Linked DNA regions of Neodiprion lecontei. The main gene of each other region encodes a partner of the protein of the gene in region 3 in a complex. Links are inferred from orthologs where the notes say so. Each region holds a gene or a part of one and is shown on either strand. Other genes may lie near its edges.

The links.
Region 1: nuclear pore complex protein Nup160 homolog (region 3) and nuclear pore complex protein Nup214 share a complex: the UniProt entries of both Drosophila melanogaster proteins name them as parts of the nuclear pore complex. The link is inferred for Neodiprion lecontei from reciprocal best matches to the Drosophila melanogaster genes Nup160 and Nup214.
Region 2: nuclear pore complex protein Nup160 homolog (region 3) and nuclear pore complex protein Nup58 share a complex: the UniProt entries of both Drosophila melanogaster proteins name them as parts of the nuclear pore complex. The link is inferred for Neodiprion lecontei from reciprocal best matches to the Drosophila melanogaster genes Nup160 and Nup58.

Annotation. Positions count from the first base shown.
Region 1 is NC_060262.1:33,074,780-33,082,473, reverse strand, and holds nuclear pore complex protein Nup214, read left to right. Parts: upstream 1-1,693; coding exon 1,694-1,855; exon of another isoform or gene 1,856-1,926; coding exon of another isoform or gene 1,927-1,959; intron 1,960-2,270; coding exon 2,271-2,564; intron 2,565-2,688; coding exon 2,689-6,634; intron 6,635-6,723; coding exon 6,724-6,922; intron 6,923-6,977; exon of another isoform or gene 6,978-7,236; coding exon 7,237-7,264; 3' UTR 7,265-7,373; downstream 7,374-7,694. Other genes in the region: integrator complex subunit 4, read right to left, coding at 7,545-7,694. UniProt on the Drosophila melanogaster protein: Part of the nuclear pore complex. Serves as a docking site in the receptor-mediated import of substrates across the nuclear pore complex including emb, RanGAP and phosphorylated Mad. Protects mbo/Nup88 from proteasomal degradation at the nuclear pore.
Region 2 is NC_060265.1:8,735,740-8,743,626, reverse strand, and holds the start of nuclear pore complex protein Nup58, read right to left. Parts: upstream 6,002-7,887; 5' UTR 5,871-6,001; coding exon 5,800-5,870; intron 5,449-5,799; coding exon 5,096-5,448; intron 4,793-5,095; coding exon 4,582-4,792; intron 4,456-4,581; coding exon 4,082-4,455; intron 3,973-4,081; coding exon 3,748-3,972; intron 3,202-3,747; coding exon 3,127-3,201; coding exon of another isoform or gene 3,119-3,126; exon of another isoform or gene 3,117-3,118; intron 2,965-3,116; coding exon of another isoform or gene 2,948-2,964; exon of another isoform or gene 2,815-2,947; intron 2,334-2,814; coding exon of another isoform or gene 2,323-2,333; exon of another isoform or gene 2,301-2,322; intron 2,158-2,300; exon of another isoform or gene 724-2,157; coding exon 536-723; 3' UTR 1-535. UniProt on the Drosophila melanogaster protein: Component of the nuclear pore complex, a complex required for the trafficking across the nuclear membrane. Together with Nup54, required for transposable element silencing regulation in ovarian follicle cells.
Region 3 is NC_060263.1:38,145,897-38,153,682, reverse strand, and holds the start of nuclear pore complex protein Nup160 homolog, read right to left. Parts: upstream 6,008-7,786; 5' UTR 5,870-6,007; coding exon 5,788-5,869; intron 5,473-5,787; coding exon 5,159-5,472; intron 5,066-5,158; coding exon 4,972-5,065; intron 4,900-4,971; coding exon 4,367-4,899; intron 4,222-4,366; coding exon 3,418-4,221; intron 3,280-3,417; coding exon 2,849-3,279; intron 2,692-2,848; coding exon 2,470-2,691; intron 2,350-2,469; coding exon 1,667-2,349; intron 1,581-1,666; coding exon 1,236-1,580; intron 1,135-1,235; coding exon 952-1,134; intron 841-951; coding exon 674-840; intron 547-673; coding exon 313-546; intron 151-312; coding exon 49-150; 3' UTR 47-48; exon of another isoform or gene 1-46. Other genes in the region: solute carrier family 35 member E3, read left to right, coding at 6,204-6,695, 6,782-6,934, 7,020-7,102, 7,233-7,371, 7,446-7,514. UniProt on the Drosophila melanogaster protein: Functions as a component of the nuclear pore complex (NPC). Involved in poly(A)+ RNA transport. Required for nuclear import of Mad. May play a role in double strand break DNA repair. Essential for nephrocyte development.

The DNA of each region.
Region 1 (7,694 bases), on a different chromosome or scaffold from region 3:
TCCATACAAACACTTTCCGAAAAACAATTCTGCTTCTCTACCCAACGTAGATACTTTACTTGCGACTAGCTAAAACAGCTAAATAGTTCTTAGAATAATTATGAATATCAATGCCATGGAATATATGTATGAGCAAGTGGTCGAGGAGGACGAAGGTGGTCGGAAGTGGTCGGTCGTGGTTGGAGGTGTTTGGAACTGGTAGGAGTTGCTAGGCGTTGGCAGGGGGTGGTAGGGGGTGGTAGAACGTGGTCGGAGATGGTCGACGGAGGCAGGGGGCGGTACGAGGTGACAGGAGGTGGTAGGAGGTGTTAGGTGGTGGTTGGCGGTGAACGGAGATGGTAGGAGGTGGGTAGAGGTGGTAGGAGGTGTTTGGAGGTGGTTGGTGGTGATTGACGGTGGTCGAAGAGGTCGTGGACGATGAGGATGCCGAGGCGGGGGCGGCAGTGGTCGGGGGACAAGGTGGTCGAGGAGGACGAAGGTGGTCTCAGGTGGTCGAAGGTGGTTGACGGTGCTTGGACGTGCTCGGTGGTAATTGGGGGTGGTTGGCAGTAGTCGTGATGGTCATTGGAGGCGGTTGGCAGTGGACGCCAATCTCAAGCTTTCAGGGCGCACTCTGGGCCCACTTGCCCGCCGTAAAGTGGTTACAAAAAGTTACCCAAGGGTATCCGTCTTTATATTCTTCAGTCAACGCTTCTGGTCCGTCCGTTGCTTGCAGCGACTGCAGAGCACGGTCTTACATACAGATTTTTGCAACGAACTGAAATTTGAGTAGTGGGGGTAGCCGCGTTATTGTCCAAATTTTTTTGCCACTACTGGCCACTACGCAGCGCTGTCAGTTATTCATAACATAACAACGTAAGGTTATTTGTGTATGAGTATCAAAAAGATAGGTTAGGGTTCCGTCAAATAATAATAATAAGCTTATGAATAACTCGTAGCGCCGCTCTTGGTGGCCATAAGTTGTACTTTTGTTTCGGACCTGAACTGATCATCCCCCACCACGTTCGTTGCAAGACCTGTATGTAATAGCGTTTTCCACTGGTTGCACTGAGTGTGAACTGAGAGCGCGCTAGCGGTAGACTCGTATTTCCAGCGTGTTCCACTGACAGCTCGGGTGCGTGAATTTAGCATTGAGCGCGTAAAATATTGCACTGAAATCGGGAGTCTGTGTCAAAGTAGTGCAATTATGGCTGCAGATCGTGAAAGAGTCGAAGTAGATGCTGTGACAGCAACCCTTTTATTAGATCTAATTTCATCTTCGTCTAGCAGTGATGATGCTTGCTCGAGCCGAAAGATAGAGAGATTCCCAAAATTTTAAATTTCATAGGAGTAATCCACAGCATGTCCGATATCGAAGTATGGATACACATTTTTTCAGCTTCTAGAGGTTAACTGCTAGGTATATTTCAGGAGATTGGGACAACTTGACTTGCTGCTTATTAATTTTTATCTTTTCAGCGGAATTGTCAATATTTTTTGCCCTTGTATGCTCGTGTTTAACATTTGTGACATTTATTTACAAACAAAAAATTACCGTTGCGTTTGTTCAATTGGCTTCATTATCACTTACTTGAAAAACTGCCAGTCGCGCAGTCGGTCAAGTAACGTCACATTATTTCTGATTTAGGAGAAATTATGATCCAGTCTGCCTTTATACGTTTTACGGCGTGTTCCACTCAGAAGGTTTGCCCCGATGCCGGGCGACGTATGCACGGAACGACTGCCCCCTGTTCGAGCCAGTGCGCACTCAAGTGCAACCAGTGGAAAACGCTATAAGACCGTGCTCCACAGCCAACCTAGCTCCTGCCCTTCCTATCCCACTTTCGATGTTTTCATCCTCATTGATTGGTTAATGGTTAGTCCAATTTTTACTCAAAGGCGCTATAACGTTACAATCAAAAACTTTATTTAATGATAATATAAAAAATGAAGGCGGCACCGGAGCCTAAGGATGTACTGGTACGCTTTTTCTACTATACATGTCTTTCAAATATCCATTTAACAATCTACAATTCAATCGTCAATCATAACCTCAAGGTTTTTTAATTCCCAGTTCAACTTAGATTGATAAAATGAATATAAACAAAAGTTTCAATTGATAACATAAATGTAATATTAGTTGCCATCATTGTGTACTCTAATTGTAACGCTACACTATAAACTATTCATTGAAATTATGGCAATTCAGAGTTATCAACTTTAATTGTACATGTGTAGTAATTAACATTTATTACTGTAGCGTATACAACTGTTATGATGCATTTTTGCAGGAATTTCAATTTAAACAATCCACACATTGGAAAATATCAGATGGATTCAGCTCAATCCCTGTAGCTTGTAGCCTGATTGCAGTAGATGGGAAACGTGGATTGATTTACACAGCTTGCGACCACAAAATCATAGTCCTGAAAAGTGGCCACAGTCTGGACAAGGAATGGAGAAAGGAATTTGTTATGCCAGCAAAAGTTACTTGCCTTGCATTTAATTGCAATTGCTCGTACTTAGCTGTTGTTTTTGATTCTCCCACAGCTTACATTTACAATGCTGCTTCAGTTGTACAACAGGTAGATTTAAAATCTAGAAATAATTTCATTTACTCCACAAAATCAAAATATGAACTGAGGATACTGTTGTGTCCGAACTTGTAATAACAATCTATCTATTTCACAACTATGTGAATATTTACAGCAATTGGAGCTCCTACGAGAGATCAAATTATCGTCCTCATATAATGTCCATATTTTGGATCTTCGTTGGAATCCTTGCATCTCTGGAATGTTATGTACAGTAACAAGTGATCACTCTATAGGCAGTTTTAATATATCATCTGACAAAAATTCATCAGTTCTGACAATATTGGAAAAACTAGAAAAGTTAGATGTGCTCTGTGTGGCTTGGAGTCCCAAGGGAAAACAATTAGTAGTCGGAAGCAAGAATGGAAGTTTGCTACAGTTGAAACCAGATTTAAAGGCAGCCAGAATCATTGCAGGTCCTGATCCGAGCATCGGCAGTGTCATTGCTCTTTTATGGATCAGCAGTTACCAATTTTGCGCTGCCTATTTAGACCCACAAGACTCACGAATTAATGTCCTCATTATAGATGCCCCCAAAGGTGAATCTCAGGGCATCTTTACTTGTTATGAAGATATAACTTATAGCGTGCCCGATGTTGAAGGAAAAGAGGGCAGTCCGCCCCGATACTATTTTGAACATATTGCTGAATGGGGATTAATTATTGCTGCTAGTAGTACCAGTAGTGAAATTGCTGTTCTTGGCTCACTAGATAATGGAACAACATGGCAGCAATGGCAGTTAGTTGACAGTGGAAGAGCTCAGCTACCTCTTGTGCGAACTAATGAAACCTTTCCTGTTGGCCTAGCAGTAGATAGAACATCTGTAAACAAGCTACCGTGGGGTGGAGAGGGCTCAACGCTTCCCCACCCTGTACCTATACTTCATATATTTGGAACTTCCGGGCAACTCTGCAGTTTTCATATGGTAAATTTAATGCCAGGAATTCCACCAGTCTGCTCTCCTCCGACTGAAACTCTTCCATTGTATAGTGAACCACACCCAAGTCTTGCTCCTACAGAAATATCATTTAATTTGGATGGCAGAGTCACCAGCACTCCACGACCTAAACAAATTGAGCCGATCATGGATCGACCAACATCAGCTGTAACCACAAACGTATCTCCGAAGACCTCAGAAGTTTCTATTCCACAACCGCAAACTGAATTGTTTGTAACAAAACCCCCTATTGAGAAAATTGAAGTATCATCGAAAGTAGACACATCACTAGTACCCAGAAAGGAACTAAAAGAGACGGAAAAAGTCAGCATAGACAGTAACGTATGTGTTTTGACATACGAGGAGGTATGCAATGATTTTGAAAAAGAACTGAGTAGTCGTAGGGAAACACAGTCCGTAGATATCGGCTCGCCAGGCGAACGTACGCAACTTATTGAAAAATCTGAAAATATGCAACGCTTCCTAACAGATTTACAGGAAACAACTACTAGTTTGACAAGTGACATCAATTACTTAAAAGCTTTGTTATTGCAGACTTTTGCCTGGCTGGAAGAAACGAAATCTAAATGCTCTTCTAAAGCTTCAAGTAATCCCCAAAATCGAGGAAATAATAATAAGCTGAAAGAATTGCAAAATCTTGTCTATTATATTCAGTCTCAATTGGAGCAAGCTGCAAGAGCCCTAGATTACGAATGGTTCGAGCATGTAAATAAAGAAAAAAATAAAATGAAAGTACCGAGGCTTGATTTCGTTCATCAAATCATGCTTCAGCATTCACAATCTATTGCCAAAGTGGAAAATTTGATTCAAGCTCAGGTTAAGAAGTGGAAAACTCTTACACGTAGAGATATTACTTCTTCATTAAATAAATCCTTGGCCGATATGTCTCTATCTTCATCCGTCAATAACAAAGCTCCTAGTGGTGCTATAGAGTACAAATGTAAAGCAATTGCACAGAGAAATTGCAGCTTTACCTGTGAGAAACAACGCACTTTGAGGAATTTGTTGAACCAAACCACGATAAAGATAATTAAAGCAGCAACCCCTTCAGAAATTCAGGATCGCTTGGAGGCAACAATATCTTCTCTGGCAATGCAAAGTCCACCCAAAGAAGTACAGAGACGTAAGAATGTCTTAATAGAAAAACTGATGCGGGAAGATGCACTACCTGCACCTCCACCTATCCCAGCTGCAAAAAGTCCCTTAGCATCTTTGGATCAAATTGTCGCCAACATTGGATCTGTTGGCATTCAGCCAAACCTTAATTTGCAGAATAAAGCACCAGCCTTGATCGGAACACCTGCTTCCACTCTACCAATCAAAACATCTCAAGTTGGAGTCAAACCTAGTAGCACACAGAATAAGTCCACAGCATCCATTTCTCTTCCGTCGATCAAAGTACCACAAGTGGATGGCAAAGCACGAATAGCTGCTACATTAGTAGCATCGCAAACCCCATCAACAGCACAGTCTGTACAAAGCAAGCCAACTTCTGCTGCACTATTTGGCACACCTCCTACACCTCATACACCTCAAAAACCCATAACTGGCATCCCCAGTGGAATGAAATCTGTGACAATATCAGAAGTATCTCCATTCACATCTTCTGCTTCTAGATCATCGGTATTGCCATTGTTGCCTCCTGCACTGATGCCAACTACAATCACAGCTATTAATAAACCTTTTTCAAAAATTGACACTCTTCCATTTAATTCTGTTATTGCTAAAACTGAGGCACAGCCAACATCTACAACAATATCTACCTCAACAACTACACCAATAGTAGTTTCCACTTCTATACAAACCATCCCACAATCCAGTGTTAGTTTTATGTCAACAGTTCAAACACCAGCGAGCCAAGCGTCGACTTATCCCATTACACTGAAAACATCAAATAGTTCAGTCACCACACAAAGAGCATTAACGACTACAACTTCGGTAAACGTAACAACGTCACAAATCGCGAGTTTTTCATTTGCAACTAAACCTGCAAGTAATACGCCTTTTTCATTCGCCTCAAAATCAGTAGCCAGCCCAACATCAAGCACAGCTCAGTCGTTGGATCTATCAGTCATGGGGTTGGACTTACAGACTTCTAATACTTCGATTAAAAACGTAACATCAACAACAACAGTGGCGGCTGGTGGCTTTTTTGGATCTGTTGGGACGTCATCACCTGGATCAATATTTGGTGGAACTTCAACTATCTTGAAGGATAAGCCAGCAAATCCAATTTTTGGGAATCCTCCTGGGTCTTCGCTGTTTGGCGGGGTCTCAGCGGGTAGTAACATAATATCTTCGTTCAGCGAAAGTGCAACACCTGGTGCGCTAAAGCTACCAGTTTTTGGTAATAGCCCCACTGGCCTAACTGCACCTATTTTTGGTGGATCTGCTGCAAACCCGCTGAAGTCTGTTTCTGGTGAAACACCAGCTGTATCCACAGCTACATCAGGATTTGAAAATTCCGCTAATTTACCATCAGCTTCAGTTTTTGGTAATGTTTCTACCACCTCCGACACTCCATCAATATTTGGAGGTAATTCTACTGAATTTTCAAGTGCACCTACTTTGGGAGGAACTACCAGTCCACCGGCATCAATTTTTGGCAAAGCTAATAACAGTCCCATTAAACCACCAATATTTGCTGGTGACTCTGTTAATTCTTCGACACCCTCCGTTTTCGGCAGACCTCCCGATGCTGAATCATTTACGTTTGGTGGTATTCCAGCTAATTCTACACCACTACCAGCTTTCGGAAGTGGTCCCACAATTTCCACGAGCCCATCAATGTTTGGTGGAGCTATTTCTAATCCCCAAACTGCATCAATTTTTGGTGGTACAGCTCCAACTCCTTCTACCTCATCAGTCTTTGGTACTGTTACACCGTCAAATCAATCAATATTCGGAGGGGCACCTGTAATTCCTACTCCTACTACTAACATCGGCTCAACTTCACCAACACTGACGGCTACTGCACCAGCATTTAGCCAAACAGCAACTTTTGGTGCCAAGCCAGCATTTGGATCCACTTTTGGAGCATCAAAACCTATATTTGGCGGCGGATTTGCAAATACTGCATTTTCAGGTGCTACACAACCTACAAGTAAGCATTTGCTAATTAGTTGATGAATATTTGTCAAAAATATTTTGTCAGTGAACAATTCCATTCAAGTAAAAATATCTGAGTTTCAGCTGCTTTCGGTGGGTTTGGCACGCCATCGCCATTAGGAGCTAACTCCGGTAGTATCGGCAGCAGTTCAATGCAGAAAGTATTTGGTGAAAGCAGTGGAAGTAGTACCTTTGAAAATCTTGCCACTCAGGAAGGAGGATTAACTTTTGGCAATTTAGCTCAGAAGCAACAAGAACCAGCAGCCCCACCACCCTTTTCAGGGTAAGCAAATTATCCTTAAAATGTTTTATGCGTTTCTGAGAAAGATATCAATACGAAAAATTAACATATTTTATTCACTCAAGTGTGCTGATTTGTATCAAGAAGAATATCGCGCTCAATTCAACTTCGAATATGTAAAATGCTGATATCTTAAAACTTATTTGATAGCATTGAGGCATAATTGAGGGTAAATACCTTAGAATATAGTTAGCTTGGATCAAAATTAAACAATAATCCCAGAATACTATGATCTGAATATCGTTACATGATTTGATAAATTCACTTGTTTTGAAATCAATTGGTTACTTTTCCAGAGGAAGCTCGTTCCAGAGTTGGAGATAATGAAATCGACTGTGACCACATCAAGATTCATCAAGATTATCCCAATATACAAGTCGATCCGATAAGTCTCTTTTTATAACATGTATGAAAGTCTTGTAGTAAAATATTTGTACGACATTGTTGAAAGTTAAGACTATATTTTTAATCACTATAGATATAAGATTTTGTATTAATTTTAGTGTCAGATGTTATGAAATTATTGTTATGGTCTTTAAATAATAATTATGCTTTTATGCGCAAAGCATATATGTTTATTGATTGTCCAAAATATCATATTCATTTAGATACCTCTTTTGATTGGCTTGGGAGAAACAGAAACTTTGACAGGCTTGCACAAGTCAATAACACATGGATCGTCAAGTGGAGGATGCGTGCAAATAGGTGACGATGGAACAAGAAGCGATAATGAAACTTCCACGTTACAAGCTTC
Region 2 (7,887 bases), on a different chromosome or scaffold from region 3:
GTAAAACAAGTCTTATTACGCACTTACATTACTCGCAAAACAAAACTCTTGACATGATAAGACTTTGTCTTCTAAGAAAATTAAGTGTACAAAAAGATACGAAAACAACTATTATTCACAGATTCCCTTATGACCCTCGGCATTCATGCGAGTTTGCTTCTCATTAAAAATACATTTGCCCAATTCGAATCGTAAATATGAAAGTATGGAATTTGTTTCTTCGTAAGTCCACTTTGATTATGTTTGGGATTTAATTACAGATTTTTCGACTAAAAAAATGACAAATAAATTAGTTTCGATTTTTTTTTTCTTCGAATATCACTAAGATTCATGATTTTACATATTTTTGACTTTTAGACAGGTACTCATACCGAGCACACGTTTGGTCCTTCCAATACTGTAATACCCCTTATTACATCCAATTTCTCGGGATAAAAATCCATGAAACAATATTTTCCAGTATACAATCGTTTCATCTGGATTTTATGCGACGAATGTAATACCAAAATACACTTAGATTTTTTTTTCATCAACTTTAATGCTTATGTCTCTTGTTACCAGTTGGTGGTTTTTGAAGTTGAAAACTGAAGTTGGAGTCTGTTGCTGATAGAGAAGTTGCCAAGTTTGACGGTGTGTTAAAACTCAAACCTGTTGCTGGTGGTTTGGCAGACGCACCAACTGAAATACTACTGGCTGTTTGTAATGACGTTGCATTACCCCAAGCTGAAACAATTTCATTATTACATCGCCTCTAGAAAGTATTACAAAATTAAATTTACACACACCTTGAGGGCAGTAAACTACCTTTTAAGCTCTCCGAAAATAAGAAAAAAAATGTCAGCGTATATATTAAAACCATTATTACATTTCTGTATTGATTTGTGTTCCATAAAAGAAAGGCAGCCTCCATAGGTATCCCATTACTCGATTTAAAATAAGTACAATCCCCCTTACTTAAAACGACTTAACATTACTTTTACGAAGCACATTGCATTATTATATTTCTGTATTGATTTGTGTTCCATAAAAGAAAAGCAGCCTAGATAAATATCCGGTTATATTGATTTAAAAAAAAATTACAGACCCCCTTAGTTGAAAAAACAAAACAAAAATTTTACAAAGCACAAAATCAAATGGGTAATATTTAAATATATCTAGGTGTGCTCGGGAGAATCCTAACAGTACATTGTTAGAATCATGCATTTTTCTTGTCCAAGCATAAGCCTGTTCACCTAAAGCCAAAGCAATTTCAGATGAATTTGACATAGGGAATTAATGAAATCTAATTTTTAATCACCATTGCAAAGACAAGAGTTATATAACTATGCATAAGAATGAGTGAATAAAAAATTAATACAACAATATGTTGTTCATGATAAGCATATTCTTTATAATGGATGCAAGAAGGTTTACTGTTCGAATTAAAACAAAAAGACTTTCCTAAAGCATTTCCGTCATAAAGTCATCCCATATTAAATGATGCAATCATTCCGCGTCTTTGTCTGTGAATCGGCTGTTTTTTTCCCCTTCACAACTCACGAGGGATCTACGGAATATTAGATTTTTCAAAAATCTATTGATCGACATATGAATTTTCGCAAGAATATTCGATTTTAGCAAGAATAACCACTAATGAACTGCAAGATAGTATGTTTGTGGTTCACTGGCGATTATCGTTAATAAAAAAGTGAAAAACTCGTGCATGTTTCAAAATTATTTTGAAAAATCTGACACATTTGGTAGTTTCATATGAAAGTATTCCACTGTCACTAGTCATATTCAAGGGAATTCGCAACTGTCAATAAGATTATAAGTGTCTCGTTACTTTTTAAATAACAGAGTCGAAAGCGAGTGTATATGTAATTTACATAAGCATTGAAACGAACTGAATAGAGGTCCTTTGCCAATTTATAATTTTGTTTCTTTACCAAATCTTGTCTGTAATTTGTCTTCAGTCATTATACAGTTTCAGATCAAATGTGATGTACAAATTACAAATAAGGTGACCAATTTTTATTCAATAATATCTGTAATAGTAGCATCTAAAGCATGAAGTAAAAGCATGTAGTTATTTTCCATGCAAGGTTTTTAGTAAGGTAAAAGCTATTCAAGCTGTACTGTCCCTTCAAATAGAAAAATTAATACCGTTACATTCAAGCTTTTGAAAAAATTTGATATTAGCAACATAAGTAATTAAAATGAAGAGTGATGATAATTTATGCTACTTGAAGAAAAATCCCTCTAGGTTCCCCGAACACAAAACACTATATAATAATGAAAATAAAAAACAAATGCTATACCTCAAATACTAATAAACAGCCACTACTTTTTTCCTGTAAAGGCAAAATAAATACAAATCAAACAGATAATAAATATATTTAGTGATAGCTACAGTGTAAAATTGTCAATCAACGATATCACACTTGAATGAATAACTGCTATGTAACGAAAACAAAGGAGTCAAATTAATGAAGCTATAGAGCAAACGGATGTAGCAGAGTTGTGTAGTTGCTCTGGTTTTGTTAAATCAGTATATAAACGCAACGTGCACAGTAATAACGTATATGAATTCATATTTTGGTAGCAAAGAATAATTGTACAAAGTCTTGGTGAATTTTATGACTATTTTTTTGTTTGATAATTGTTATTTGTGTCAAAGTTCAAAATCTGAGGAAAGCTTGCAGTGCAGAATGGCAAATGGTGCGTTGGAAAATTAATACTATACCTATGCTTTCAGAAAATTTGTGCGTCAATATTTCATAGCAATTTTAATTTATGCGCATTCAACGATATATATTTCGTTGTGCAATCATGGCACGAAATAGAAGACGAGCAGATTACATGTTTAATTTTTACAACAAAATTTAAAGTTTGCTATAGCGTCAATTTACTACATCCATCTATTCTCCGTCAACTTTTTGATATTGGTAATAATTTCTACCTCATACTAAATCCCTGCAAGACCTAAATATAGGATACGTTTATGGGGTATTTTATATACGTGACTAATCGAAAAATACGTGAGTAAAGTGAAGAAGAGGATATAAATTTATACAAATGTAAAATAGAAAAAAAAATCCAATAAATTACACAGTATTTCTAAAGGTTCATCTTACCACTATTTACCTAAAGGGTTCGCTGTTCCATAGTTTGGTGGTCTGCTGGTATTTAGGTTTGTTGAGGATAAAAAACTTTTGTTTCCTAGAATAAAAAATTTTACAATATCGCAAATTTATCATCATTCGAGGATAAGTGAGACGAATTCAACTCAATCAGATACGTCGATGTTTTCAAAAACGTATCGCTTATGAAGTTGAGACTCATGCATCTTCAAAAATCGCTCGAAAGTAATAATTTATTCACAACGTGGAAGAATTCTTGCAAATTAAGAGTTCCTGTTTATAACACCCACGATTGCCATTCCGAAAATTTCATCTTCACAGGTACAGAGTATACCAGAGTATTTGAATGGTTTAAAATGACATGTAAGTTAAAGGTGAACAGGAATCACTTTAGTAAGTATTGAAAATAAACAATTAAATATTATCATAATCCCTTCAGTTCTGTACCCGTTTAAAACAGCTATCTGACAAACAATAATTCAAAATGTTATGGAAGAAGATCAATGAGGTAAACTTCGAAGGCTGGTTCAACAAATGTATTTTATTATTAGTTACTATTATATATTTTATTGCCTGAAGACAAACTTCATTCGTACAAATTAGCCTATGGAATTGTCTAGCCTACCTGGACCAAATGGAGTAGGACCACTGTTGATTTTTCCAGAGCTGATCCTGCTCATTTTTTCGTTTAACTTGCTGTCTTCAAATACGTTAGAACTATCTTTTAAAACGTATTTCCTCAAATTGAGATATTGTTCTTTTTGATGTTGAACTTTAGCGTGTACACCTTGCAACTTTCCCGCGACTGCTATTAATGATTCGTGAAGCTTGCTCATCGCCATTGTTAGTTCTAGGATCAAAAAATGTGGTCAGTCTGATTGATGATGTGAAAACATGTATAAGAAATTGAGCTTTGTAAATATGATGTATGAAAGTGAGAATAAGAAAGGTAAACTCACCCTGTGGAGTTAACGTCTTTGGTGTCACCATGGTATGTATATGTTTTTCAGTGGATTCTATCTGAGATCTGAATAATAATAAATCCTGTTCAAAAGTATCGGCAAGTTCCATAAAGAACAGCAATGGCGCATTGTTCTCATATTGCAGTCCTGCTGGTGTATCGTGTGTTCGTTGTGCAATTTCTGCATTTTGTAAAGCTTTTGCTGTGTCCTGTTTCAATTTGTCTGCCAAGGAACGATCCCGCTGTACCGAACCAGCGAGAGTTGTTAGGAGTTCCATCAACGACGCTGTGTCTTCGGCGCAGCGATTTAAAGGTCTAACGGAACCCCGAGCTATGTCCGAAGTGAATGACTTCTGGGTCTTGATAAATATTCTGGTGAAAATTCAGGGTGATACGTTACAAAGATGATAAAAAAAAAGTCTTTATTACTCCAATTTGACAAAAAAGCTAATAAACGTCTTCCAAATTGAACTTCATTGTTATGCCATGATTACTTACTTGAAGTTTTCAATAGTCTGTGTAAGTTCATTGGGTATGAGGTTTTCCTTAGCTGCTGTTGGGCTACTACTTCCTTGAGTTAAACCTAGTTTGTTGGCAGAAACATCAACGCCACCAAGGCCCTGGATATTAGTAGTTGCCGTTAGGGCGGCTGAGTTCACAGGTTTGGCACCAAACAAACCCCCGACAGGTGCAGCACCAAAAAGAGATGCTGAAAGTAAAGAAATCGTTCGATAAAATATTAGGCAGGACTCATTACTGCAAAGCGTGGTTGAATTTTTCTAAAAAATTACACGTTTGGCAAAGCGAAACTTTGTAACGCAAGTAAGTTTATAGAAGAAAAATTGACTTGCCTGGTAGAGTTTCTACTTATGAGAACTACTACAAAGCTCAGTAAGGTAATAAGCCAGTTGGAGATAAATTTTGATCAGCAAGAAGCATTACAGTGAATCATTCCCTTATGTTATTCCTAACATTGCTATAATCTAAAAATACTCAAGAGAACAATACTAACAACCCGTGGTTGTAGTGGTACCAAAGTTTAAAGTGTTGGTAGGTTGAGTGCCAACACTAGTACCAAAATTCAGTCCTGTCGTAGCAGCGGGTGTACCAAAACTGAGACCGCCAGTCGGGGCTGCCGAGACAATCGGAGTTGAAAATAAACCTGAAGATACACTTGTTATGGCTGTTCCTCCAGAGCCGAAAGGCCTCGAGGCTTGCGAAGTGGTCGAAGTACCGGCTGTGCTACCGAATCCAAAGTTCGGAGTCGTTGATGTTCCAGATATGGCTGTACTAAAGGATAAGCCACCAGTTGCAGCTGACGTCGCTGCGAACGACGGTGTGACTGTTGAAAACGCTGGAGCTGGTCTGAAAATAGGATTGAGATACGTTAATCGTTTGTCTCAGAGGGTAATAGAATTGGGAATAGAATCGATAATTTGCGTTACAAGTATTGACTGCGAATATCAGTAATTGCTAGTCTTGAACTTGTTTTCGGAAAGCATTACTAGTAGCTAACGTATTCCTAATTGCATTCAAGTTATGACACACAATGAAGTATTGAAGAAAATTAAAGTAGATGATACAATGATAAGTTTTAATTGGATCACCGCAGTGATCCGCGAAAGTTATTCATCTTTCACGAGAATGAGAGTTTTGAGGTTAGGATGATTACCGCCAAGTTTGAGGGAGTGTTCGCTGTCAGATGACAAGACTTACTTTTGATTACCAAATCCAAAGGTTGTTGTCGTGGTTCCGGTAGCAGGAGTGCCAAACCCAAATTTCGACATGCTTCTTGCGAGTGTTTTCAATCTAATATTTAAAAATATCTATACTACGTCTCGGCAAAACATTACATTCAAGACATGGCTTGAAACTTCACTTCTCAAGGATTAAGGTCGCCCGCGTGTCGCACGATGTCGCTGTTCGTTGCCGCCAATTTGAACCATCGAGCTTATATGTACGCATGGAGATAGCATCCCAATGGTTGCACGTGTCACGGGGTCAAGGCAATACAAGTACATTCTGTCTCTGTCGCTCTGCGCTGCGATTGGCTGTGCGCCCTACTTCGGCCAATCAAAGCGCGGAGGGAGCGAGACAAAATGTATTGAGATTGCTGTTTCCCAGTCACGAATGCCAGTGCTGGTATGCTACCTCATGCATACAAACTTGATGATTCGACTTGTTGCTTCCAATTTCGTTATGTGTTGCTAACAAGCGGTAAATTTAAACACTTAACAACATTTTCGAATGAATCAGCCTGCCTCAGTTTAGATCGAAGGATAGATAAAAAGTTTTAATTGATCCTAGAGCCGTAGCTCCCTGAGGACCATCAAATACGAAGCTTACAAAAAAATTTCAATCTTATATTTATACACGAAGTGATTAAAATAAGCAACACGGAATTCGTTTAGTTTAGTATTCATTCGAAATAATCGTATCATTTCATTATATGGACATTTTCAAAATCCATTTATATTACTTGAATACCGCGTGCCGGGTTCTGGCAAACCGGCAGCTATTCAAGTAGCTGTTATTGCTTTACTACCTACTTTGAATAACATTTTAAAAAAATATGAAATATATGATTGATGATAACCAATTGAAATTTGTCACGTCACCCTTTTCCCACTATTATCATGTCACTAACAACCCCTTTTTATAGTTAGTGAGCAAATAATCGAACCCACCAATTTTCGGTTTGGTGAGAAAAAACTATGCTGTAACAAAAACAAAATTTAATTTCTAGGACAATTTTTAAAACTTGTTGCTTGCAATGGGATTAATTTTGTGGAAACTTAAAAAAATATTTATTGTAATACCTGAAGAAGTGACAAATATTCTCAAACTTGAACCGATCGAACATAGTAATTAGCAAATTATTAAATGAATAAAAGGTAATGTCCATATCTCGGGTTCTAATTAACTTATTGAAACTTTTTATTTCAATTACGCGTTTTGGAAAAAGTCACCGGAGTCTTGAAAAATATCTAGAGTAATTTGAAAATGAATGAAATTGCTCACACTTTTTTACGAGCTAGAATTTTAAATCTATAAAAAACTTTCTTTGTTGACAAAAATTACTTTTTCCCTGTTACACTTTGAAAGTAGGCATTGAAAATTATCCCGACTATTTTTTTCCACATGGTAGAAATAATCTGACAAAAGTTATCGAAGAAGTGCGGATTTACGTGGACCGTTTATTGTTGCTCAACTAGGCAGCGTAGCCGGGTAAACTTTGGATGAAAAATTCGAGAAAAGATTGTTCTACACGTCGGGTGAGTTTCGGGACATGGAATTGAAAATTCACCGAATTAATAGCAATAAACAAAACGGCCGATCCCAGTGCTTGTCAGGATTTTTCAAGTAAACTAACAATGATACATTATTTTTGTATAGGACTAATTTTATAAAAGGCAATACGATGGAAAACTTTTGTAGGAACCATTTTTCACTGAAACCAACAAAAACAAAAATAAATAACTAAATAAATAACTTCCGCAATTTACAGTTTGTTCAAATTTCAAAAAAATTTGCTGCTAAAATCCGGATCGAACTTTTTTGGCAAACTTCAGGATATGTTCCTGGGCATCTAACGAAATTGTAAAGAAATTGCCGGCTCTCTGTTCTTCGTCGAACGAAGTCGATTGAATTTCTATACATTCGGACCGGACTATGATTTTAATATTACGCAACTCTTTGCACATGGATATTTTTTACTTCGAAATATATTATACTTCCTCAAAGTTTATCGAACCGCAAATTTTCGCTTCGTTCTTAAACATTTCCCCCGGCATTTCTCATTCA
Region 3 (7,786 bases):
TACTGATCATCATTGTTATCCTACAATGTTCCGAAAATATACTTACTGTTAAACAACTCGACTGTTTATTTTCATTTGTATCATATCTTCTGAAACTCTGATAACTGTTTCGATGTAGTAGTCTAAGGTTTCTTTCAATTCTTCGTAGCTCTGAAATGAAAAGTAAAAGCTTACTATCAATAACAATAGTATACTTCAGCTCTACCAACAGCTGTGATCAAGTAACTCTAAGATAATAGGAGAAGATCGGAAAACCGCTGAAGGTAGAAAAAACTATTTTTGTAAATATTTTCCAACAAAATTGGTTTCTACCTCTATATACATGGGATCTGTTTTGCTAGCATGTTCAAGTTCTAGTAGAAGCAATTCTAATGTGTTCAATGGAAGCCACACAGCAGGTGACGTAGCTACCAGTGGTGTTGTCAAACCAAAATACTCTTTCCCTCTACCCAACACAGCACCAATGTATTCAAGAGCTATTGCATTCGCTTCTAAAAGTCGACCGGAATTTAAAATAAGTCTCAGAATTTCTGCCGCATTGCGTTCCTGAAAATAAAAATATAGGATATGAACTTAATTCGCTATTAATATAGTTAGGTCCATTTTTTCTGCAGTTTATCACTGCGAAAAGAATAATAGTCAATGAGTAAAAACACTTCGGAAGAGAAATTACTTTGTAAGAAGACATTAGCCACTGTGGAAGAAAGGCACCGTGATGCAGTAGATTTTTCGTAACAGCTTTGTGCAATTCACTGCTATTATCCCGTTCGTGTTTCAATGTGAGATGCTCCAATAATCTCCAAGCAATATTTGTGACATTCGAATCTGATACGCCTTTATCTGTAAGAAATATATGCATTCCTTGAAATTTGTCGACCTTATACACTCAATGTATAATTCCATACACAAAAAGACATTGTGAAATTAGCAAACAAATAAATTTTAACTTACCAAAAATTTCGTTATGTATTAGCCAATCCCAAGCGTCAATGTCTTCTTGATAGCTCAGAGTTACGCATTGTGAGGCCAGATTTTCAAGTACAGAAGTTTTCGATAAACTAAATTGGTCACACAAGTGTAAAGCAGTCGTGTACAAACCAACATTGGATAAAATTGCGACAAGTTCGGACGGCCCTATGAAATTGTATAAGAACAATTAATCAAATATTCAACCGTGGACTATTCATTGAGTATATCCAAAGAAAGTCGATGTACATATTTTTAAGAAAACTCACCAGCACGTGCGATTGTTTGTAACTCCGGACTTAATTTGGCTAATTTTAATCTTGCTGTAACGATGTAATACTCATCTTTGATCTCTTTCAATTCTAACACTTCTACTTGTTTCTTCACTTTATAATGCAAAACTTCCCTGCCATCTATACTCCGTTTTTTTACGGGATCAGTTTCCCCCGATTGCCTTTGATCAGCCACAGGGCGCACAATCCATCTATATCTTTCCTTTACAAGATGCAGTGCATTGATACAAGCCAACAAACATCGAGACTGTTTTAGTATAATTGCAGGAGAATGGGATTCCTGTCCTAGTCGCATGCCTTGTTCGTACATCACTGAAGCAGCTGAAAAAATATGTATACATTACGAAATGAAATGATGCACAAATGGGAGCAAGAATGTATTTTCACTTGATACTAATGAATCGTACCTTTTCGCATGTTTCCCTTATTTATATGGAAGCTATAGAGAAAATTATAGTAATTATTTTCCATAAGATCCATACTCCGTGCCCTGCCTTCAATAATTCTTTCCAGATCTTCGTACATCTCGACATAAGGAAATGTAACTAATTCCAGTAATTTGTTCCTCTCAAATAATGTTGCTACTAGTTGCCTCAAGCAGTCAACTTTTCGGGAAGGATCTGGGTTAGAATTAAGCCAATGATATGCTTCTGTATGATGTTCGAGATTCAGATGTTGTCTAAATACGATTGAATGGAGCGTGGGCAAATTTGGGTTGTCATCTTCAGCTATTGTGATTGCAGTTTCTGCCAGCTCTATTATACAATCTGCGGCATTATGATGTTCAAACAGCTGGATCACCTTCAAGAAGTAATTAACTCGCATGCTACTTTCAGACACTATACAGGCATCTAGTAAGGTGCTGGCCAAAAATGTGTCTGTCAAAATTCCGTTGCACGCTCCAAGGAATTGATCACAGGCCTTGTGTGTTTCACCCATTTCAAGCAAAGACACTGCCATGATAAATTTGCGAGAGGCACTGTTCCATTCGCACCAAGTACTTAACATTCTAACGTACTCTTGAACAAGCAAATGCTGACAGCTTGATAAAAGCCATTCGGGAAAAATAAAATTTCCTGATATTGGCCAACTGTTTTGAAAAGTCAAGGAAAAAGAACTAACGTGATTCATTGGATTTCATTAATGTATCATATGTTTCATAGTGTGATTAGAAGTTATTTTCTCAGAAAACTCTTTGTTGAAAGGATACACGAACTGAGCCATCAGAGTAACATGTGTTAGCATACTTTCATGCCATGGTACAAGGCCACACGTATCAGTTATCGTATGAGCCATCAAAGTGTGGGCATGTTTTGCACCTCCGCTATGCATAAACAATTCTAAAAGAGACAATGATCTCTGTTGTCTCTGAACAATATTTACTCCGGAATCTGAAAGCTTTAAAAGGCTTAGATGCTGAATACTGGTGTCTCTGAAATTCAAATTGAAATATATTAATTTCACACATGGTTTCATAAATGCTAGGTACGAATGGATTGGATGATGTAGCATAGAAGAAATTGACTTTGAAGCAAACGAAAAGACTAGATTCTGCTAGAATCTCTAGTTACATAAAAATTTGCACTTACAGTAAAGTTTGAGTTGGTGACGAACTGGCGGTTGATTCACAAATCCACATAACTGCATAATACGCTTGTGTTAGAACAACCGTTCTAGGTGCCAGTGAAGAATTTATGGAGTGTAAGGACCTTGGATCAAATGCTTCAGGCCGCTTCAAAACTAATTGTTGTAGGATCAGCAGATTTCTACAGATTGAAAATCTGAGCTGAGTAATTTGCGATACGCTTTCAGTTATGGCTGACATTCCTAACTGGCTGCTGAACAAGTGACTGACATTCAGCAGGATTCGAGAGGCTTCCTGCACCTCATCGAGCTGCAATTTACTTGGTTGACCAAGATCATAAGTCAGTGCTTCTACCAGCATAGCCATCGCTTGTGAGATGTCATTGGTGTTCTCTATTTTACGATTTAATTCCGATTGAAAATCGTAATCGGATAACTGGAATTAAACAAATGGCTTAGGTGACGTTATACTTAAGAACTTCGCAGAGTAAGTCTCAATTCTCTTCACTTGGTAAAGATAATAAATAAAATGGGCTTTAGGTAGTGTTACAAAAGCTTAAATAGAACTACTCACAGGGTCTTCAGTCTCTAGTACTTGTTTGCATAACAAATCTTCAATAATAATGTCTGGACTGCGTAAATGATATAGTTCGCGTTCAATTCCACTTTTCAAATCCTCAGTCAATTGATTGTCGAGCAAAACTAATGCGGACATCAATGTGATTAAATTTTGACAAGTATCTTCATCTTGGGACAAGACTGGTGTAGTACTGAATCTTTGCACATATGATTTGTCATTGCATAACATTAAATGTTCAAGCGCCTCCATTGGCCGTAACAGGGAAAACGCTGACTTTTTCAGCAAAACTGCCCCATATACATTTGGTAATAACAACAACCCAACAGGTTTTGTACCATTGGCGTAGTATTGAATTACACAGGAATAGAATTTGGACCAGCAGCGATTGGCTATCTCTAAATAGTCATCATCTGAAAGCTCGTAATCCATTACTTCTGCTTGAATTTGAGCTTCTACTGCCATACACACACGTTCCTTCAGAACTGCAGGAGACAGCGACGTGTCTGTTATAATGTTAGAGCGTCGATAAATGCTCAAGGCACGAGTTATGTCCGCTAACGGAAATTGACCAGGATGAAAAATATAGCCAATGTATGCCTGCCTTGGATCTGTTCCAGGATCACTCACGATGTAATCTCTGTCTGGTGGTTGCACTAGCACTGCAGTTTCCCATTCAGAGTTTACTTGTGCACCATTCAATGGTAGCCTTGCATGTGTCACGGCTACTGTGTCCATGTCTGTCGTTCGCCACACTGCCCACAGTCGAGTTGGTGTGAAGGAAAAATCGACCAAATGTTGCTACACAATAACGATTAGGGTGTTATGTTTAAATGGCAATAATGAATTGGAAAAACTAACTAATTCACCAATAGATGTTCAAGTGGCGCGTGAAATTCTTCATCTTGAAAAAGTTTGAAATTTGCAACAACGATTGTATACTTACATCTGGCGCAAATAAAGTACAAATCCTGACAAATTTGAAGAGTCCAGCATCCTGCAGTGGTTTAAGGATGCTAAACTCGCATCCAGTTCCAAATTTTAAAAATGTTCCCAAATAAAGTTCGTTGTCATTGACTCCAACTGTTTTTTTCAAAATGTGTCCTTGCACTCCCTGCAAAGGAACTCTGCTGTCCATGGCAATATCTGCAACTGCCACACACTGGGCTTTACTGCAGGCCCACATCCTGACATTTCCTTCCCGACATAGAGCGAAAAGGTACATTTCGTGACCATACGAATGTAGGACAAGCGACATTGGGACGTGTCCTTCAGAATTACGGCCTCTAAAAGCAGTCGCGATGCCGGACAGAAATCGGGGAACAATTGAATCTTGTTTCAATTCAGTTGTATGAGTAAGCCCAGTCATTGTATCAAGACGGATTAATAAAATGTTTCCAGTGCTGTATGCGAGCGCAAACAATGCTTCTTCTTGAGGTAAAGTCAGCCATGAGGCTGCTGCATGTGGCACTGATGTGTCTAGAATAGAGAAACATTTCAAATGAATATTTTCAAACATTATAATATTGGTAAGTACAAATGTCAGCTTACTCGTTGTCCCTGTATTGGCATTAACAATATTTTTCGATGCATCGTTAAGGATTGATGGAACACTAAGGTCCGAGTGAGAGCCCAATACATGTTCCTGCAAAGGATATGAAAATGAAAAAAACTGAAGATTTTAAGGTATCAGAAAAAGAAGATTAAAATTAAGTGTGTGACAAAATATTGGTCCTACCTGTCGATGTATTTTATCTGGATGCGGAAAAGTGAGTTTGTGAACACTGGATACAGTGACCACTAATATCACAACAGAGTTAACTGTCTCATGTATAGAAATTCCATCCAAGAGTGGCCGGTCCGTAAATTTGTATCTTACTTTACAGTTGGCAAGATTCACATCTAGACTGTGCTCGACAAGTTCAAGAACGTCGTGGGATATGCGCCAGTAGATGAAACGATTTCTTGTAAAATGCTTAGTGCTGTCTTTGTAAGAGTATCCGCCCGCTCTCTCAGGGACTTTTATATCTTGTAAAGTACTTTGACTACCGCCTGTAATAAGCGAAGAGTTACTGAATAGTATTGAACCAGAAAAAAAAATTAAGGGTTGTGACAGTTATACTGTACGAATTTTTATTGAATGCAATAATGCTCATCATCAGAGTATCAACAATAGTAATGAGGTATAACATTTGTTGGGACGTAAAACATAAAAGGAAAAATACGTGTCCGTATAAATAGGAGATAAACGGAGTGTTTGAATGTCATACATGTCTTATCGAGCGTAATTATTAATCGGTTCATACAAGGAATGCGAAAAATAATTCTTCATCGGAAGTTTGTGTGATAGAGGTTAGGTTATCTCACCAGCATTTATCACGATTTCTTTCCACTTCTCCGGTAATGTTTGATCGGGTATAACTTCCCTGTAACCAAGAGGGAACTCCATGTTGTCGGTTGCTATAAGTTTCTTTCAGATATTAACCATATTAAGGAATAATATTTGAAAAACCTTTAGCCCAATCTTCATGCCCAAAAAAGACGCTTTTAGTTGCTAAAATTTCCGCGCGCGGGTTTTCAGATCAATTGGCGCGCAGCTCGAGGGGAGTTTCGTCGTCATGGAAACCCCGGTAGATGGCAGCAGTGTTCGACAAAACATATACAATTGAATACATAACCCTAACTTGGATGAAGTAAAGATGCTCAACCTAACCTGTAACCGGTGACGTAAATGTCAGAGAATATTTATCGCGCCATAAAGATCTCAATAATAGTCTGAGAAAATGAACAAAAGAGTATTAACATTTCTCTGCTTAGTACTAAATATATTTTTTTCAATACTTATTGTATTGTTAAATAAAATGGTGTACGTGAGGATTGGATTTCCAAATGTCACCCTGTCCATGATACACTTTGCAATAACATTTCTTGGGCTAATCATTTGTGAAAAATTGGATGTATTTTGTATAAAAGATGTTGCCATTAAAGAAATGGTACCTATCGCCCTAACTTTCTGTGGGTTTGTTGTCCTTACTAATCTGAGTCTGGAACACAACACGATCGGCACTTATCAAGTTACTAAAATGCTTACAACCCCCTGCGTCGTTGTTATGCAGGCAATATGTTATAAAAAGAAATTCGGTTTGCTTGTTAAACTAACATTAATACCCATCATAGCTGGAGTTGTCATCAACTTTTATTACGACATTAGGTTTAATATTCTTGGGACTATTTACGCTACTCTAGGTGTTATTGTTACATCTCTGTATCAAGTTGTAAGTAGGATAACTCTCACTGCTTTATGATGAATTCCGTAACCTGTTTCATACTTGAAGCTCATGGTTTTGCACATTTTTTCCAGTGGGTCAGCAGAAAGCAAAAGGAATTCCAAATGGATCCTATGCAGCTCCTTTATTATCAAGCACCGTTATCTGCAGCAATGCTGTTTGTGATCGTACCATTTCTGGAACCCATTGGTAACACCCTCCAGCATAGCTGGACATTTACAGATATTGTAAGTTGAAAGACACTTTGACTACTTTTCAATACTAAAGTTTAAACATTTGCTAACTAAAGGGATAATTTTTTTATTTCCACAGCTGATGGTGCTGCTATCGAGCGTCGTAGCATTTTTTGTGAACTTAACATCGTACTGGATAATAGGATACACATCACCATTAACGTATCCTTATTCAAACAAGGAATTGTTATTTTAAATGAAATTTTTTAATTCGATGAAAAATTATTATCTACCCAATTTATTTGCCATGCGCACAGCAATTCTCAATATGTTCTTACATAAAGTTTTCCAGTTATAATATGGTTGGACATTCAAAATTTTGCCTTCTTTTACTTGGTGGCGCTATTATATTCCACGAATCACTTGCACTGAATCAGGCTATCGGAATTACTCTGACGTTGATTGGAATTGTATTATATGCTCGAGTCAAGGCAAGTATGTGTTTTCACCGTGCTGGTAAATTTACGGTGTGAAATTTAATCAAATATGGTCTTTTTGTTTACAGATGAAAGACGGCATATCGAATATTTCACGTTTGACATTGGAAGAAGGCAAGCCACTTTATAAGACGTAGCACTTGAACAGAAAAATAATAAAAAGAAAATTGTGATACAATGTGCCGATTTTATTATTTATTTAATATTTCCCTTACTGAAACCTAAGAATATTGAACAAATAGATCTTTTATGATGATGATATAACAGAAGTTTCAAAATATGTCCAATCTGTTCTGAATTCTTTGAATACAATTTTCCCCACCTAGGACCAATCAAATTTTTTTTCCTTCACCCTATTTTCTCAAATATATTTAAACTGGGTGAAAAAAAGTGTGTTCTGTTCGCCAAT